3 linked regions of the Drosophila melanogaster genome follow. The protein of the gene in region 1 purifies or fractionates together with the protein of each later gene. This does not show direct contact. Each region holds a gene or a part of one and is shown in the gene's direction. Other genes may lie near its edges. The genes, in order: CG9372, Hexo2 and CG1092.

Region 1 (6,812 bases):
CATTAATGTGTACTGATTTTATATACAATGTACTAACTACTATATATACGTGTGAATGTCATTAGACTCTTAGTTGTTTACACAGGTTTCCTCGAACATCCTCATCAAATTCATCAACTAATCCGCACACACGCTCTAATCGGATATATTTTTGTGAGACCCTTTTTGGAGAGATCTACATACATATATAAAGACACTACTCCTATACCGAAACCGAAATTTAAGATATCGATTACTCTCGATTACAGAGAACTTTGTACGCAGATTTGCAAGGCAACCATTTTGTATAAGATTTGCATTTATTTTGTAACCTCTTGAATGCAAAGATCTCCCTAAGTTTGAATGCATTGCTAAGCCAATTGGATGTTTATCGATTACAAAATGTATAAGTATGCGTTATGCAAACATAAAACCGTTGTATTTAGTTAATAATATCAGCAATAAACTATAACATGTTTGAAATCAATGCGGCGTGTTTATATTTTGGGGTGCCATTTTAATCTACAAAAAGGTTTTCAAATATATGATTAAAGATTGTTTTCAAAAAAAAAGATTTGCTTATCGAATTCAGTCGATTGCGGGTATATACATAATCGAAAAATTAATTTAAACAAAATGTTCTTTGTTACTTTGACAATATATAATTTCAGTTTTGATTCAATCAGAATTGGACGACTTTGTCATATAGGCATACGAATAGTCGGAAAATAGAGTTTCGAATGAAATAATATAACACAAACTACAGTTTCGTCGTTTTTAATCATAAATTGATGTTATTCTGTATACATAAGTTGTCTTTAATATATAAATTTTGGTTTCAATTTAATCAACATCATATTACTGCAAGGGTATATAAGTATATACTTCGGCTTTTTGAAGCTAACTTCCTTTCTTGTCATAATTTATGTTTTACGAATTCCAATTCTATTTGATGATTTCAACATAGATAATAAAGCAATCATCCAAGGATTGGTCATTAAAGGATGAACCAGTATGAATTTAGTTTCCAGAAACATTTTTAAGGCCACATGAACTGCCCATCGGCGTTTTCAGAGAAGCACTTGGCCGTCTGGTAGACCCTCTCGCAAGATTCCTTAAATTGTTTATCTGCAAAGATATACCTTACATATATTTACAGCTATGAAAGGTAAGTGTGGGTGTAGTTACGCGTATCCCGACAAGCTTCAACGGATTTCCTGGACATCTCCATCATTTCCGGGGGAACCAGATGCGGAAGTTGGGCCAGCGCCTTGGGAGCGTTGAACTCCCCCTTTTTGTTCACAGTGCCCGCCATCAAAGACACACACTTTGTGTAGCACTAAAAGGATAAAGGATTCAAACACTGGTGCCTGCAAAATGAAAGCGGCATTCACCATAAGATCCTGCGATGGCGGAAAGTTGAAATCACCCACGCGAAGCCGATCGAGATCTTCTGTTTTGAGCTTAAACTTCGGCGCACAGCCACTGCGGATCATGTCTAGCGAGGTCAAGAACTGCTCCATCGTCATGGCAACTGCAGGATCGGGTAGCAGGAGTACCAGCACTTGCAGGACGATCGCGAAAACAGCGGAAGAGCGTCGTTTCCAATGCTTCATGGTGGCGGAAAGCTAAATACGTTGAGTAACCATGTCGTAGGAGAGTTTTATAGGTGATCATGGTGGCAGGGAAAGGTGGTAATTAAATCGCAGGGATTAATAATTAAGTAACACACTCGCACGCCATTTGAGTTGACTAGGAAGTTGTATTTGTACCATTTGAATGACACGACAATAGTCGAATTTTAGAGATACCTGTTAAAAAATAATAAATAATAATTTTTAAACCAATTTTCAGGATAAAGTGGGTAAGCGATGAGTTTATAGCACCGCATATATGTATATTCATATGTATATGTGATCATATAATATTCCCAGAAATTCAAATCCAGTGCTCTACCTATAAAAATTGTTAAATAATAAAAATATGGTCTTCGCAATAATATTAAAATAATATATTTTAAATATTTTTTAAGGATATTTTGACTAATTATTTGTTTGACGCTTTCTATTTTAAACTTATTTTTTAGTACACTTATTCGGTATTCGTCTTATTACATAATAACATAATCTGCCAACTGAAGTCGCCCCATTCCATTTTCTTCGCCTCCATCATTCAATACTATTACTTAAATTATGTTAAAATGTTAAAGGGTTGGGTTTTAAATTAAGACATTAAAATCATTTCTGCAGTGACAATCAAACCGTGCATCGCAAATGTTTTCTTCGATTCCGGTTGTGCCGTGCAATTGATTTATTATTACTACTTTGATGTGCAAGCGTCAAAAGGCAATTAAATAGAGAATATAACTGAGTATAAAATCTTCCTTAGTATTTCGGAGATGATACTTCTATGGAATCAAAACCCACCGAACCGGATCATTTGCGATGCACATCACGTTCGCCTCGGAGAATCCAAACTGATCATCATGGGCACTACTCGCCCCTGGCAACATGTTGCCAAGCTGTTGCCAGCAACATTGAGATAATACACCAAATTGGGTCTAAGCTCAGAGGCATTAAAGGGGACGTCATTTCAGTGGCTCGCTTTCCGCCCTACAGATAAGCCAAGTGCTCGGATTAACTCAAGTATTATATAATAGTTACTATATCGCTAGCGGTTCCAATCCCATTAAGCTTTCGCCTGGGAACTGAGCATGGAGTAAGACGCTTTAATAGCCAGGAAAACCCCATAGTGTCGACGCATCGAACAGGTTCAACAGCAGTATCCAAGGCAAGACGTATGTAAATTGAGCCGATCTGAGCTCAGCTCCATATCGGAGAAGTAGCTTTAGCTGGTTGGAGAACTGTCAAAACAGAACTGATTCAGCGGGCAACGGAAGCGACACGCGATTAAAATTCCCACTGCACTCGCGAAAATAACTCAAAATGAAGGCATTTCTTTGGGCATTGGTGATTTTACTGGGCTATATCCCGCAGAGTACAATCGCCAAGACTGTATCCACTGATTTTTTAGGTGAGTCACGTTTTTATACCAACATAAAAAATTGTGCAGGTGCATTTAATAGCAAAGTTATTTATCAAAGTTAAAACTCATTTCACCCAAATACTTGATATTTCTAAGACAAATTCCAAGAATCTAATGTAAACCAAACCTAAAGATTTTCGTCTACCACCCAGATCTTCTCGACTTCAGCGATAATGATGAGTTTCAATGGGGGGAGTCGGAGAATCAGGTATACGAAAATCGCACTGGGGAAAACCGCGTCGTAAGTTTCCTGTCCCAACATCGCCTAAACAAGCGACAGGCTCCCACCTCGCAATTGCTGGTGAGTTTATGTCTTATGCATACATACCAGTATCAGGTAACTACAAATGATAACCGCAGGAGAACAAGGATTATGGAGCATGTAGCACTCCATTGGGTGAATCCGGCCGATGTCGCCACATTATCTACTGTCGCATGCCAGAACTTAAGAATGATGTCTGGCGTCTGGTCTCCCAGCTTTGCATCATTGAGAAAAGGTATATGAATTTTTCTTCTTAATGGCTTGGCATCCTTGTATTATATGTACAAATAATTTGTCTTTCAGCTCCATAGGCATTTGCTGCACTGACCAGTCGACGAGCAACCGATTTAGTCCGCAAGTCGTGACCAGTGCGGACGGTGATGAGCCGCGCATCGTTAATAAGCCGGAGCAGCGAGGTTGTGGGATCACGTCCAGGCAGTTTCCCCGCCTCACCGGTGGACGGCCAGCCGAGCCAGACGAGTGGCCTTGGATGGCGGCCCTGCTGCAGGAGGGTCTGCCCTTCGTTTGGTGCGGTGGTGTCCTGATCACCGACCGTCATGTCCTAACTGCCGCTCACTGCATCTACAAGAAGAACAAGGAGGACATCTTCGTGCGTCTGGGCGAGTACAACACGCATATGCTGAATGAGACGAGGGCGAGGGATTTCCGGATTGCCAACATGGTGCTCCATATCGATTATAATCCACAGAACTACGACAATGATATTGCAATTGTCAGAATCGACAGGGCGACTATATTCAACACCTACATCTGGCCAGTTTGCATGCCGCCCGTGAACGAAGATTGGTCGGATAGAAACGCCATTGTCACCGGTTGGGGCACCCAAAAGTTTGGCGGTCCTCATTCTAACATCCTCATGGAGGTGGGTCGCATATTAAAGTATATTTCATTTTATATACAGCGTTTTTATTTTGTTCTTAAGCTTTCAATTTCTTATATTGATCTAAACAAATTGGTTTCAGCAATTTAGTAACTCAAGCTGAACATAACAAAGAAAGCTTTTTTAAATTAAGAAAATATGTATTACTCCTATCTTCAGGTTAACCTGCCGGTTTGGAAGCAGTCCGATTGCAGGTCGTCATTTGTACAGCACGTTCCGGACACTGCCATGTGCGCTGGATTTCCGGAAGGAGGTCAGGACTCCTGTCAAGGCGATAGCGGAGGTCCTCTGTTGGTACAACTTCCCAACCAACGCTGGGTCACGATCGGCATCGTGTCCTGGGGCGTCGGCTGCGGACAGCGGGGTCGCCCGGGTATCTACACTCGCGTGGATCGCTACCTGGACTGGATTTTGGCTAATGCAGATGTCTAGGATATACGCAGTACTGTCTTCAGTTCGATGGTACATTCAATTTACTTGGCATTAGAATTAACAAATGCTATGGTCTAAATAAACTAATTAACCTGATAACGATAGATATTTATAAAACCTATCAACACCCGCAACACCCCCAAGCTAAATCTAAGAATAAGGCCACGTCTCCGATTTGGCAGCGGCCGCACTGGAAAGCTTCTGCAGCGGCTCCTGCTCTTCAACATTGTTGGTTGTCGTTTCGGTTACATCAGTAAACGCTATCTTGTAGACATCCTCGTAGGTGGTGGCAAAGTGAACCTCCAGACCATCTGTAATGTACGTGGGCAACTCCTCGAAGTCTTTCTTGTTATCCACAGGCAGAATAAGACAATTCACTCCACTACGACGTGCCTGAATGAGGGTGATTTATTTATATTTACACACAAATAGATCATTTATTTCTGTTTTACTTACTGCAATCGTCTTTTCCTTAATACCACCCACGGGTAGCACTTTTCCCTTCAGGGATACTTCGCCCGTCATAGCGATATCTTGGCGCACCGGCTTTCCAGTGGCCAACGATACGAGAGCTGTAATAATGGTGATGCCCGCACTGGGGCCATCTTTCGGTGTGGCACCTTCAGGAACATGGAGGTGAATGTGCCTGTAAGGGCCACATATATAGATTAACGAAAATAAGAAAACGCAAATTAAAAAACTTACTCTTGCTCTAAGAACAGATTATTGGGTTCCAGCGAATATAAAAAGTTGCGCGCCACCGTTAAGGCTATTTGGGCCGACTCCTTCATGACATCTCCCAAATTTCCGGTGATGTGCAGCGATCCGGCGACAGTGTTCGGATCTGTTTTTGCCCCCTGGCGAATGTGACGCCTTGAGGTTTCGATGTAAAGCGATGAACCACCCATGGCGGTCCAGGCCAGACCCATGACTACACCCACCGGTGTGGTTGCGTACATGCGATCTGAGCTAAAGATTTGTTTGCCCAGGAATGTGGTCAGATTATCAGCGTTAACCGGAAAGTGCTCGCCTTCTTTTTTGACCACTCGGAAGGCCACCTTGCGAATAACTTTCTCGATATGCTTTTGCAGGTTTCGCACCCCGGATTCCCGGCAATAACTGCGAATCAGCATGTTTAGGGCATCCTCGGAAATGTTGATATGCTTGTCCGTTAATCCACAGTCCTTCATCGCTTGTGGCATCAGATACTGACGAGCGATGGCGATCTTCTCTTCGGCAACATACCCAGACATCTCAATCAATTCCATGCGATCTCTTAAAGGCTCGGGAATAGTGTCGATCACATTAGCTGTGCAGATGAAGAGCACTCGCGAGAGGTCTACCGGCACATCGAGGTAGTGGTCCAGGAAATTCGCATTCTGCTCGGGATCTAGTAGCTCTAACAATGCTGAGCTAGGATCTCCCTGGTAGCCCCTAAAATAGGTTATTTATTATATTACAGTATATCTTAATGAAAGCCTTTTACTCACTTGCCGATCTTGTCCACCTCGTCGATGAGTACCAGAGGATTTTCAATCTTAGTCTTCTTCAGGCACTGAATCAGTTTACCCGGCATTGCGCCCACATAGGTGCGGCGATGTCCCTTGATCTCAGCAACGTCTGTCATGCCGCCCACACTAAAGCGGAAGTACTCGCGATTCAAAGCGCGTGCAATGGACTTTGCTATGCTTGTCTTGCCCACACCAGGGGGTCCATGAAAGCACAAGATCTTGCCCTGCGTAGAGCCCTTGAGGGAACTGACGGCAATAAATTCTAAAATACGCTTCTTGATATCCTCCATTCCGTAGTGATCGTCGTTTAGTGTTTCAGTGGCCTTCTCCAGGCAGAGATTTTCGGTGCTGATAACGCCCCAAGGTAGGGAAGTAAGCCAGTCGAGGTAATTGCGAGTTACACTAAAAAAAAGTAGTATGAGCATATTAGTTAAGCTAAATTCCAAAATATTTTGTAGAACTCACTTAAACTCGGAACTATGACTCTCCAGGAAGTTCAGCTTGGTGAGTTCTTCATCAATAACCGTCATAATAGCTTCGGGAACCACCTTATCCTTCAGCTTTTCGCGGTACTTTTCACCAATGGCATCCTTGTCGTCTTTTTCGATGCCCAGTTCTTTTTTGATGACTTTCAACTGTTCCTGGAGTATATATTTGCGATGTTGCTGCTTGACTTTTTCCT
Region 2 (7,273 bases), on another chromosome or scaffold:
GCAACTTTTTGCGCTTGCTTTTTGTTTTGCATTTCCTCTGCTGATTTACTTTTTTTTCCTTTCATTTTATTTTATTTCTTATTTTGTTTTCTTTTTTTTTTCATTTCCAGCTCTTGGTTTTTTGTGTAATTTATTTGCCGTTTTGCTTGTAATTTGTTACAGTTTTTTAATCTTGCATTGTTCTAAGCAGCAGCATCCAGGGGCGTGGCCTATGAGGGGGGCGTGGCACACAAGGGGGGGGGGGTGTGTGGCAGTCAGCGCTGACTGACGCAAACGGAATGAAGAACCTAGCGGCTGACGGACTCGGCACTTGCATCCTGTCCAAAGTCGTGCAGAGAAAACAAAGTTCATATCATTTTTTTAAGATCATAATCATAATCATCATATTTCTAAAATCATCAGGTTCTTGTTTGGTTTTGTTGAGTTGCTATTATAAAGTTAAATGCAAATAATTTATATCCATGAAATGAACTAACAATATTTTCTCTCTGTGCAAAAGGGGCGTGGCCCAGGTGAGGGGAGGAAGAGGCCGCAATGTAATCAACATCATAATCAGTGGCGATGAACCCCCAACCCCCTCCCCCCCCCCATCCATTTGAATGCACTCGAAATAAAAGCCCAATATGTTTACTTTTCATTTCACCTTGAGCACTTAACTTAAGTTAAGACTTAAAATTTATAATATTGTTATTAATCGGATAGCTAGCCATTCGGTTTAGAAAGCTTCAGTAATTCTTTTGACCTTATTTTTCCCAGTGCAGACGCATCTGTGCATCTGCATTGTCCTGGAGCGACAGGAACAGCTGCAGCTCCTCATCATCATAGAGTCTACCGCCTTCCCATATCCATAACCATGTCTACATCCAATCCCCGCAGCCTGCCCCAACTCCTCCTCATCCTCCGCCTGCTGATTTCCATTCAGGACCTGATGTCCGAGTTGGGCAAAACTCATTTGGTCCGCCCACATGTGTGAAATCCTGGGGATGAGCGCGTGAGAAGTGCACATATGAGGTATATATCTTGTTCACTTAAATATAATCAAAATGCGTTTACTATTGTTATTGTTATATAAATATGTTGGAAAGCTAACTTACCAGCTACCTTTAAAAGTGGTGAGTATTCAAAACCTTGTTAGTTTTGAAATATGTATGTGCGTATTCAATAGTTTTGTGGCTTCAATGAAGCACGAAAAAGATAGTGCACGGATTATTTCGAGAAAAGTCGTGGTGAGTTTCGAGATCGTGTTGAATGGTGAGTGAGGGGAATCGTAATGTGCAACTATCGCTTCAGCCAACATCCCCGCATCCATCATCTCAACCGCCCGATTACAGCACTCGCACGTACTCTTTTTAATTATTATAATTTTACATTCTAAACACAGAAACGCACACATGCTCACGGGCAACAACAATGGGCAAAAGAATAAAGAGCGAAGGCGGCGCTATCGCATAATTCAAAATTCATTTCGAAGGCGCACAAAAGGCGCCCATGGAATTAAAATGGAAATGGAATTGGAATTGGAATCCAAGCCAGCGACCACATAATAATACATATTATTAATAAAAGAGAGAGAGAGAGAGAGAGAGATGCATGGGCGCATACAAGAACTAGATGTGCGAATGCCGAATACAATAAAATAATAATCAACAATGCCCAGTCGCACACACAAATAATGTTTTTTATTTCACCATTTTTTTTTTTTTTCATTTGTTTTCAACTTCAAAGCTTTTATCGAAATCATAATGAGGGTGGAACAACAGCGCGTTTCGCGACTAAAATTATGTTCCAGATTAAAACAAGTAGATGTTTTGTAAATAAATTTATTAAGAAAGTGATTAGTTAGTTAGTTGCTTTAGCAATATGTTCACTTCGTTGTTAATTTGAAGTAAAATAAATGTTCTTACTCATATTGCTATGAAATCAGTTTGGCTGAGTGGTACACAAATCAATTTGTCACTGATTTAATTAACTTATTAAGCCAATTAAATGGATTTAAAGTAATGTGCATGCAGAGTTTTTATATGAATGCATTCAAATTTATTACCCAACATTACCCATTTCAACTAAGGGAATACATCTTTTATTTTGCCTTACAGTCACGGCCTCAACTGTACGTGCAACAACATGATAATACAAGACGAATCAAATGCGAAAACTCAACGAAAAATCGACGCAGAAACAAATGATAAATACTAAAAAAGCACAAATATAGTTGTGTATCTTTGGAGGGATAAGACGGTGGTTCCATTCCCCATTGCTGAGTTGTTTATCTATCTACTATAAACAATAATTTTTTGATTATTTGTGTTAACTGAAAATTGATACACCGTTCTATCTTGTTTATAATTAACTGCTGCTTTGTTTACCTCGAGGGTGGAAACTCATTTGAATAATATTTTCGAGATGTATTATTGGAATCTTAAATGTTGCAAGTTCAATTGGCATATACTACATGTATCTACATACTACACATGTGTGTATGTACTTATGTTTAATTAATATGCTGGCTTTCTTAACTGCATTTGTGCCGAAATTTGTGAAGAATTAGGTTGATTTAGTTAAATTCTTTTTGGTGTTTTGCACGCTGGCAGTTTTCAAGCCCACGATTATTGTTGTTGCTGCGGTTCTTGCACCGCATATACATACATACATGCATACATATGTATGTATATATTTTCCATTTTATCACTCACCCCACAACTTCCGTATGTGGGCCACTCTCCAGGGGGTGGGGTTTGCTTCAAAGAGTGGGAGATATGCTGATTTCACAGCACTACACAGGCAGAAAAGACGTGGCACTTCATGCATCAAGTGTCCTGTTAGTATAGGGAAGCTCATTTAATAAAGCTGTAAAATCTAATTGCCAAGCATTAATGTGGAGTAGCAGTGTAATGCAAGGACTTGGCGTTTCTCGCAGTGTAATTTCAATCCGCGCTCTCTCGCGCTCTTGCACTCTCTTCAATTCAATTGACGATAAGCTCGACTTGTTATTGCTGTTGTTGCGGCCGCTACTGCGCTGCAAGTGAAATTTCGCTGGATTTATTTTATTCGCTTTTTCGATTTCAGCTCTTCAGTGTTGTTGTGCTCGGCGAGCGGAGCGGGTGGGCGGCCGGTTGAAAATAGCGAATACACCGTACACACCCCCCTAACACAACAAATATAGCAAATACCGAACAGAAATTATAAAAGCGAGCGGCGCAGCCAAAGAAGCCGTTAGAAAGAAACGATGCGGTTCAGCGGCTACAATCGTTATCAGTGCTTTTGCTCTGCTGTTGGATCGCTGCTGCTATTATCCCTATTATCCTTCGCGGTCGGCGCTGCGCTGACGCGGGCAGATGACGTCGGCAGCGACGCCGACGCCGGCAGCGCCAGCAGGTTTGTGTCTTTGCTTCATAAAGGAAATCAGTGCAACAAGTGCAAGTTTTTTTTTAAATACATGTTTTGTTTTGGAAGTATAACAATTTTTGCTAACAAAATGCAGTGAAAATACAAAAAACTGACTGTTCTTTATTTTCAATGAAATTTCAAGTGTTATATGCGCTCAGCAGACTAGTGAAAAAAAGTCCAAAAAGTCCACTACTTTTAAATATATTAAAGGAAATCTATTCATTCTACAAAAGAGAACTTTAAAAAACTGCCAACGGATAACAAATGGTTGGTGTCTATGCTCAGCAGGATATCCAATATCTCCTCAAATAACTGAGAGCAACAAGTGAAATCAGTCTTAAAAACTAGAAAATAAAACAAACAGAAGAAAACAGGTGAAAATTTAACTGTGCCAAATGCATTTACATGTTAATTTGCATTCGCTCCAAGTGCAATTTTCGTAAAGGGAACAAGTGCAAAAGGCAAAGCGACAGAATAAGAACTACTTTCTATGCAGCTGCATATATTATTGAAAAGAATTTGCAATAAATAAAGTGAAATCTGCTTTATGTATCTAAATATATATGTACTTAGCTTTATTATAGCAATATCTTCCGAATTTCCAGGAAATGGCTGTGCAGCCGGACGGATATCTGCACCGCGGAGGGCGAGATGGTGGCCGGACTGCAGTACGCGCCGGAGATCTTCGAGAGCCAGCGGGATTGCCGACTGTCGTGCGGCAAGTACGGAGCCATCTGGCCCATGCCCACCGGCAAGGAGTGCACCATATCGCACAGGCGGGTACGATTCGATCCGTGGAAGGTGCGTTTCCATGTTGTGGCGCCCGGCGAGGCGGCCACCCAGTTTCTCAGGGAGACGAACCGGCTGTTCGTCTCGAATCTGCTGAAGGAGTGCATACGAAACTGCACGCTGGAGACCAGCAAGCAGATTCTGGTCAGATCCACGGTGGCCAACGAGAGCCTCGTTCTGGACTGGCCCACCGACGAGAGCTACGCCCTGGTGGTGCGAACCACTGAAACGGCCACCTTTGTGGACATCCAAGCGACGACGGTGTACGGTGCACGTCATGCCTTCGAGACGCTGAGCAACCTGGTCACCGGCAGCCTGTCCAATGGCCTGCTGATGGTCACCACGGCCAACATCACCGATCGTCCGGCCTTTTCGCATCGCGGCGTCCTTCTGGATACGGCCCGTAACTTTGTGCCGCTCAAGTTTATACGCAGCACCTTGGATGCGATGGCGGCCAGTAAGCTGAATGTGCTCCACTGGCATGTGGTGGACACGCACAGTTTTCCGCTGGAGATCACCAGGGTGCCGGAGATGCAGCGTTACGGAGCGTACTCCTCATCGCAGACGTACTCGCGCCAGGATGCACTGAATCTTGTGAAATATGCCCGACTGCGGGGCATACGGATACTGATCGAGATCGATGGACCCTCGCATGCGGGCAATGGCTGGCAATGGGGTCCTGCCGCCGGACTGGGCAACATGTCCGTGTGCCTGAATCAATCGCCCTGGAGGAGATTCTGTGTACAGCCACCGTGCGGCCAACTGAATCCCCTGAACGATCATATGTACGCAGTGCTCAAGGAGATCTTCGAGGACGTAGCCGAGGTGGGCGCTCCCGAGGAGACCCTGCACATGGGCGGCGACGAGGTGTTCCTTCCCTGCTGGAATAACACCGACGAGATTCGGGATGGGATGCGGGCACGTGGCTACGATCTCAGCGAGCAGAGCTTCCTGCGGCTGTGGTCGCAATTCCATCAGCGGAACCTCAATGCATGGGACGAGATTAACGAGCGTATGTATCCGGGCATCAAGGAGCCGAAGTCGGTGATCATCTGGTCCAGTCACCTCACCAATCCCCGGTACATCGAGACCTACCTGCCCAAGGAGCGGTTCATAATCCAGACATGGGTGGAGTCACAGGATGCCCTCAATCGGGAGCTATTGCAGCGAGGCTACCGACTGATTGTGTCCACGAAGAATGCCTGGTACCTGGATCACGGCTTCTGGGGCAGCACATCGTACTACAACTGGCGCACCGTGTACTCCAGTGGCATGCCCGTTGGTCGCAGCAAGGATCAGGTTCTCGGCGGTGAGGTGTGCATGTGGAGCGAGTATGTGGATCAGAACTCACTGGGTATGTAAACGCTAGGGAACCAAACGGTGAACCAAACCCATTTAATTAAACCCAATCCAATCCCCTACAGAATCCCGAATCTGGCCGCGAGCTGGAGCAGCAGCCGAGCGAATGTGGTCAAATCCAAAGTCTTCAGCCCTGTTGGCCCAAAGAAGATTCTACCGCTACCGGGAGCGACTCCTGGCGCGCGGAATCCATGCGGATGCAGTTATTCCGCACTGGTGCGTCCTCCACGAAGGACAGTGCCTCTAAATCGGTCGTTCCGAACCTAGTTTTAGCACCAGCACATACCATGTACATACCTTTCAAACTATGTTATTTTATTCATCAGTTATTGCCCATAAAGATCTGTTTTTAATCCAATCCAAAATGTGTTTATAATATGCTTTTAATTATCTGGAGTTACGTTTTGTACATTATATGGGTTACAATTACGAAATACCCAATACTATATGAATTCGATTTTATCATAGAAATTAATGAGCTCACTTAATGTAGCCCTGATCGATGGCGTGCTTGAAGATATCAGCCAGTCGCTGCTGCTTGGCGGACTCCTTGAAGGGTGTGATATTCCAGATGTCGGTGAGAATGGCGTTCTCCTTGATTCCATCCAGATCGGCCACCTCATCGTCCTCCATCATCGTCATCGGCAGCGATTCGATGCCCATGCCGCAACCAAAGCGACCAAAGTTCTTTAGCTCCTCTTGCAGTGATTCCCAGGAGATGATAGACTCTGCATTGCCACCGAGATCCTGAATCAAATCCTGGGCGCTCTCCAGGTAGGCGCGGAGCAGCTCATCGTAGTGCTGTTCCCTCAGCTCCTGGCTAGTGCAGGAATAGATGAAGAAGCTCAGGTCGAGGGCCAAGGAGGAGCACCTGGCCAACTGGAAATCAATGATGATGATCTCCTCCGATTGTCCCCGTTCGTTGTACTTGGTCAGAAAGTTGGGCGTCCAGCAATCGCCGTGCCCGAAGACACTCAACTTGGAGCGAGTGGACACCAGATTGATCAGATCATCGAACAGCGGCGGCTGCAGGAAGTTTGTGGCCACAGTCTCGTATTTGCTATTCGGATAGATCTGCTTGACGGCGTCCGTGGCCACATTCTCCGCCAGCAGGAGGAAGCCCGTGTACCACTCGCGGGTGTGTTCGCCATAGTAGGTCTCCTCCAGCGAACCAGCAGCCTTCTCGAAGTTCTTGCTATCCAGGGCATTGAAGGCCAGGGCCACGCCATGGAAACGACCCAGGGTCCGCATCGTCAGCAGGGCATCTTCCAGCGAAATGTAGTCTTGACTGCAAGGTAAGGTAAGGTAATTGAAGTAAATGTAGTTGTATAATTTATAATCAATAAGGGTTAATGGTATTAATGGTAGATATTGAAATAATCTATTGTATGGGAAGTCGACAGATAGTGTAGTTACACTTATTTATAGAAAGCTGATTTCATACGAAAGGGGTGGAGGAGGAGGAGGAGGAATAAACTAACCGTACAGGTGCCCTGTAGCCCCTGGGACCCACATCCTCCAGGGCGATGAAATCGTTGACGCCATCGCACAGGCTGGCCAGGCAGCGGGGGTACTCCACGAAGGGCTTCTTAGGCGCGGGCTGGCGGGACTTCTGGAATGCCTCGATGGCCGGCAACACCTTGGTGTAGAAGTTGATCTCGTTGCGGAAGAATATCACCGAACGGAAGAGTCGCCGACGGTGCAGATTGTCGGGCATGGCCTTCACGATCACACTGAT
Region 3 (6,042 bases), on another chromosome or scaffold:
ACAGAAGACTAGAACTTTTAGTATTTAACTTACAACAGTTTACCGAATACATTGAAGATATAGAACTTGGTATGCAATTAACAAGACTTGGTATTTTTAATCCCAAATTATTAAGACATGATCCATTATCACATGTAAATTCCGAAAAATTGCTAAATATAAAAACTTCTACGTGGTTAAAATCAGATGCAAATGAAATACTTATTATTTCCCATATTCCTAGAGACATTATAAAAACTGCACTTTTTAACATCGTACCATATCCAGACAAAGATAATAATATACTTATAGAAAATGTAAATGATAAATATTATATTCAAGATAATCAAGTTTACAAACAAAACTCAAGAAAACCAATAATAAACAAATGTATTACAGGAATATTAAATCAAATACCAACAGAATGCAGATATTCAAAAACACATAACAATATTGGAATAACTTATGTAGAACCAAACATAATTTTAACTTGGAAATTATCAAAAATTGTATTAAATCAAAACTGTATAATTAATAGAGAAATTATAATAGAAGGAGACAATATAATAAAAGCTTTTAATTGTTCTGTTCAAATAGAAAACATATTAATTACAAGCACAACACTAGACTACACACAAACGGTCTATATCAATAACAATGTAACAAAATTAGAACCATTATCATATCTAAATGCTAAAGAAATAATTAAAGAACACACTAATACATACAACACATTACAAATTATTACATTAACTATACTTGCTATTATAATACTTACACTTATACTATATTTTATTTATAAATATAAAGGCATTCCCAAAAAACTAATTGTTAAATATAAAAAAGAGAATCCACAACAAATAGAACAACAAAATAACACAACAACAGAAAATATAAATACAGTATTTGATACTAATCCTGTATTGTATCCTAGAATATCCGCCTGAGGACAGGCTAAATTTAAAGGATGGGGAAGTAGCATATGTGCCATAGTATAAGACCACATATACTTACACACACACATACATAACCACATAGGAACAGCCATACACAAAATCATAGAATGCCTTAGGATATAAGTCATAAAATCATGTATCCAATAAGAACCCAAATTCTGGTGACAATAACAAATCCAGCCTACCCTAATGTAAACATTAACATCCGCTGCCGAATCAGTTATTCCCACCAAAGGGTCAAAACCGCTTACGCAGCTCAAGTTCTCGGCTGATCAGTACCCATGAGTGATCCACTCAAGAAGGCACCCAATCCAACAGACATAAACATCCGCAGCCGCATTCGCGACTCCCACCAGAGGGTCAAAACTGCTAACACAGCTTTAAGGGTCAAAACTTTCCACGTAGCTCAAACTCGGCTGATCTATATCCATGCGCAATCCACTCAAGAGAGCGCCTAATTAACGTAAACATAAATGAGAGCCTATGTACGCTCAATATGAAGAAGTAAATAAGCTCAGCCAAGGGTTTGCTAAGCGTTCGCTTTGCAAATTAGATTTAGATTTTATTCATACTTCAATTGTGTAAGACGTGAATTTGTCTCCGACATTCGCTTAAGTTTTTGATCAATAAAAATACTTTTTTTTTATAAACCAACAAATATAATATAATATATGTATATTATGTATGTATATGTATATTTAAATCATTCCTTTCATAAGCAACTGCACACTGTTGTCTACGCTTAGTCAGATATAACTCGTAATACTTGTGAAACGATGCAAAGCCCATATTCCAGAATAGCGCGATCGTAAAAACAGTGGGAGAGAAATTTTCCTGATAGGACTTGACATTCTTATCGCTTCGGAAATATAATTAAGCATAGGAACTCACTCACTGAATTAAAATAAGACCTCGAATTGAGCAATGCACTGTGGTGCGAGTGTAATAAGATCATATATAAATCCGTTCTAATAATTCAACAATATAAAAACAACAAACAACCCGAGAACTTTCGGGTGTTTTTGCATTTTCAAGTAAAAATGATAAAATAGGAATGTGAGCGTTTAATTGGTTTTTAGACCGTTTATATGTGCGCGATAAAATAAAAAAGGTAAAACGGTAAAGATTGATTATTGTGATTTTGGAGAACTGTTTGTAACTGTCTGCAACAAAACGTTCTTCTAAAGTCCGGATAAATTTTTGGTTAAACACGTTGAAGAAGCATAAGTTGAAAATGTTGAAAACACACCATAAAAACATATACTGAGTTGCACTAATAGGGCATTTTTCAATACTATCTATGCTTTTCAAACGTTCATTATGATAAAAATAAATTATGTCAATGTCAGCCCACAATCATTTAATTATTGTCCACTTGGACAGAAAATCTTTTTAAATATTGTCAAAAGTAATAAAAAAGTTTTTACTAAAAATTGAAACATTCAATAAGTTATTTTAGTTATTTAATACCAGGGGATACGGAGTTTTGTGCTTACATTTCAATTGAAGTTAAATAGTTTCGTTGCCCAGTGATAGACGTATTTGAAAAGTGACTCTCTCTCGAACTACTGTGCAACGAAATCCGACATCCGTTGAGGGGTCCGATAGGCTGGCGCAAAAGCTGGGTTGCCAGTGACTTGAGCTCTGCGATGACAACCTCAAGTCTTGCAATCGGCGCATCCGTAGCGCTTATTCTGTTGATGTTGACTGGTTCAGGGCATTGCCAAGTGGGATACGTGCGGCACCTGTCGGAGCTGCGGATAAGGGAACTTGAAAAATTGTCGGTTCGTATACAGGGCTCCATCAACACCGAAAAGTATGCCTGCGAGAGCTATTTCGACTACGTCTGTAGCCGCAATCGACCCCTCTTTTCGATCATGGGTAAGTGAGGAAAGCCTGTGTTGGGGGAGTGCCTAATGCATATACCCTATCCAAGGACACATGCCGCAAATGGGCGATCTTATGCAGTTGCTGACCGAGCTGCAGAACGATCCAGAGCCATTCGAGGCTAAGCAGAAGACGCTGGACTTCTTCATCTCCTGCAACGTGCACCACGCGCTGGAAGACTGCTATCGTGAGACCTATGAGTATTTCAAGCCACTTTTCGGGTATATAGTTACAAAAAACATGCTCAATGGAGAATCCCACGAGCTGGATGACTTTCTGGGCATTTTGGACCGCTTCGTCGTCAGGTTTCAGAAGGACAGAGAGTCGAATCCCATTCTCAGCAAGCTGGCCACGTATAAGCAGAAATTTAAAACGCCGCGAGTCTACTTCCATGCTAGAGACCTGAGCCGGGAGTACAAGGACCTGCGGATCTACCGGGAGAGCTACGAACACAACGTTCGCAATCTGGAGCAGCACAGAAAACTGAATTCAACATACGAATTGGGGGTTCAGCGCACCATGCTGGATTGGAGCATGTACCTCTTTCAGAGCCGCAACAAGCCCATGTCCTACTTCTACTCCACGTTTACGGTCCATTTGTACATGATGCTTTTTAATAGTCTGGAGCGTCAGCGTGATTTCACGCGGTTTCGCGAAGATGTGGAGTGTTTAAGGCTGCCGCAGTTCGTTAATGTTCTGGATGAGGCCAGAATGCTGGCTGTGATCTACTTAAAGAGCTTCCGAGCGGCCTGGATAGACTACAGCGCCTGGATCAACTCGCCTCCACAGAACAGTGGGATATACGATCAGGAAAATGGCGTCCTTCAAAAGTACCATCTTGACAACAAGCGTATATTTTTTACTCTTTACGCTCAGAACTTCTGTGAGTTTGGGAAGGATCTGGCCGAGCATGTCTTCTATCTGGGCCTTAAACAGAACAAGGACTTTTACGACATATACTCTTGTGGATTCCAAACGGAAAACCCTATGACTTGTGTTTAAAAGATCAAGACCATTTCTACCATATATTTAGTTTACGAGATACAATAAAAGCAATAACATTCTCATAAAGGTGTACAAACCATTTGAAAAAAATGGCTTTCACTAAAAAACAAGCGAAGTTAAGATACCCAAATATCAGATACCCGTTACTCAGCTAGTGAAAGAGCAAACGAGAAATTTCTTCCATATCGATTGAAGTTGGGAAAAAAATAAAAAAAAGAAATATATAATAAAAAATTTTGAAAGCGTGGGTCATGCATACGGGCGGCTTGTGGCCAAAAACTGAAATGTAAAACAAGAGAGAATGCTTAAGTCGAGTTGCACGACTATCAGATACCCGTTACTCAGCTAGTGCGAATGCGAACGCGAAATTTCATAATTTTTCTGGGATATCGATAGATGGGGAATAAAATGAAAAACAAATTAAAAATGGCTTAAAAGTGTGGGCGTGACCGGTTTGGAAGCTTAAGGTCGTTAGAGTGGACGTGAAAAAAATTGTTTGGCTAACCGATAGAATATTACAAGACTTATAAAATTATGAAAAAAATGTAAACATTTTGCAATAGTGTGGGCGTGGCAGTTTTGGGCGGTTTTAGGGCGTTAGAGTGGGCGTGGCAAATTTTTTTGGCAAATCGATAGAAATTTACAAGTCTAATAAAATTATAAAAACATATCAAAACATTTTTCAAAATATGGGTCAACAAACTTGCGCTGCCTCTATGTCTTAAGAATCTGTATGCTTAATCTCAACCTTATAGTACCAGAGATCTCGACGTTCACACAGACGGACAGACAGACGGACCAGGCCAGATCGACTCGGCTATTGATCCTGATCAAGAATTAATATACTTTTTATGGTCGGAAAAAATTTCCTTCTATCTATAAAATACTTTTAAACGAATCTAGTATACCCTTTTACTCTACGAGAAACGGGTATAACTGTCTTACACTAGACTTTGTATTCAAATTATAAAAATGGATATAAAACTTAAAACAAAGATGAATCCGAGATCTCGGAGTTTATATTGCAATGAATCTAGTGTACACTTGTACTCTACGAGTAAATGGTATTATTCAATTTACACTAAACGAATTTCATTGATCCAAACTCTGGCCATTTTGGATATTTTCAACGATTCATAGCGACCTTAGTCTTTTGATACCTTTAGTAAAAATTTAATTTACAGCGATCTGCAGGCTTTGTTGGTAAAACTGTAGGCCATTGTGGGGTTTCAAGCGAAATACTAAATACACCTTAAGATTAATGTCGTTATTGGATGACTTAGTCACGTGGGCTTTAATCATGAACCGTGCCAGAGTCCTTTTCTTCTTTGAAATCCACCACTGTTCCTCAAACTTCTTTGGTGTACCTCGTTATTGCAGTCACTGCGTCTGCGGTCGCGACTGATTTCTCCAGCCTAAACTTTTGCACCTCGTCAAAGTAATCCTTTGCCTCCTGTCTGTGATAAAGTTTCGCCAAGTCAGTGCAAGTTTTGCCAACACCATCCAAAGCCGCCAAGTCTGCGCCGTGCGTAACAAGGACTTTGATGAGCTCCATGCTAGCGTTCATAACCACTGCAAGCAAGGTGCGAATTTAAATTCGATTTAAGCAGTTTCAGTCCTTCTAGTCCTACCTGCGCGCATAAGAAGGGTCCAGCCGCAGACGTCTCTGGCCTCAGCATTCGCTCCCGCTTCGAGAGCGAACTTGACTATTTCCAGTTGATTGGCATCAACGGCGCAGTGGGCGGGAGTCATGCCGTTACTGTCCGTCGCCTCCAGGCGGGCCTTCTTGTTCAGCAGAATGCGAGCGGACGGCAGGTGACCGTAGTAAAAAGCCAGCTGTGAGGTTTAAAACTCGTTAATAACTGGCAATTTAGACTAGTGCGGTCACCAACGTGCAGCGGGGTCCGGCCGCTTCCCGGATCTCCAATGTGGACGCTGCAACCGGCCGAGAGCAGCAAGTCAATGATGCACATCTCGCCCTGAATAATGGCATTGGCAAGTGGCAGGAATCCGTTGGAAGCCGGATATTCCATTAGGCTCGGGCGACGACGCAGCATTCTTTTAACAAGGAATTGCTGCCCTTTTCTTATGGCTCGGCTTAAGCAGTGTGTAGATGGGAGTGCTGCAGCCGTGCAAGCCTAATGTTTTAGAAAGGGGAATTGTTATTGCGGACGATCCCATTGATATGAAACAACCAGAACGTAACAGTCGACTT

What was found.
Region 2: the proteins of CG9372 (region 1) and Hexo2 purify together in Drosophila melanogaster (affinity purification with mass spectrometry, with the first as the bait; one large-scale study listed by BioGRID). This does not show direct contact.
Region 3: the proteins of CG9372 (region 1) and CG1092 purify together in Drosophila melanogaster (affinity purification with mass spectrometry, with the first as the bait; one large-scale study listed by BioGRID). This does not show direct contact.

What each region holds. Positions count from the first base shown.
Region 1 is NT_037436.4:19,603,657-19,610,468, forward strand, and holds CG9372 (uncharacterized protein), read left to right. Parts: upstream 1-2,551; 5' UTR 2,552-2,924; coding exon 2,925-3,012; intron 3,013-3,176; coding exon 3,177-3,325; intron 3,326-3,384; coding exon 3,385-3,521; intron 3,522-3,589; coding exon 3,590-4,169; intron 4,170-4,200; exon of another isoform or gene 4,201-4,346; coding exon 4,347-4,619; 3' UTR 4,620-4,712; downstream 4,713-6,812. Other genes in the region: lush, read right to left, coding at 1,019-1,107, 1,168-1,318, 1,374-1,595; Lon protease, read right to left, coding at 4,770-5,012, 5,076-5,265, 5,325-6,053, 6,110-6,532, 6,596-6,812.
Region 2 is NC_004354.4:8,706,583-8,713,855, forward strand, and holds Hexo2 (hexosaminidase 2), read left to right. Parts: upstream 1-3,069; 5' UTR 3,070-3,226; coding exon 3,227-3,375; intron 3,376-3,992; coding exon 3,993-5,530; intron 5,531-5,600; coding exon 5,601-5,782; 3' UTR 5,783-5,896; downstream 5,897-7,273. Other genes in the region: CG2004 (uncharacterized protein), read right to left, coding at 6,016-6,823, 7,017-7,273.
Region 3 is NT_033777.3:4,264,390-4,270,431, forward strand, and holds CG1092 (uncharacterized protein), read left to right. Parts: upstream 1-2,380; 5' UTR 2,381-2,584; coding exon 2,585-2,816; intron 2,817-2,871; coding exon 2,872-3,824; 3' UTR 3,825-3,927; downstream 3,928-6,042. Other genes in the region: flip (flippy), read right to left, coding at 5,176-5,399, 5,459-5,663, 5,720-5,965.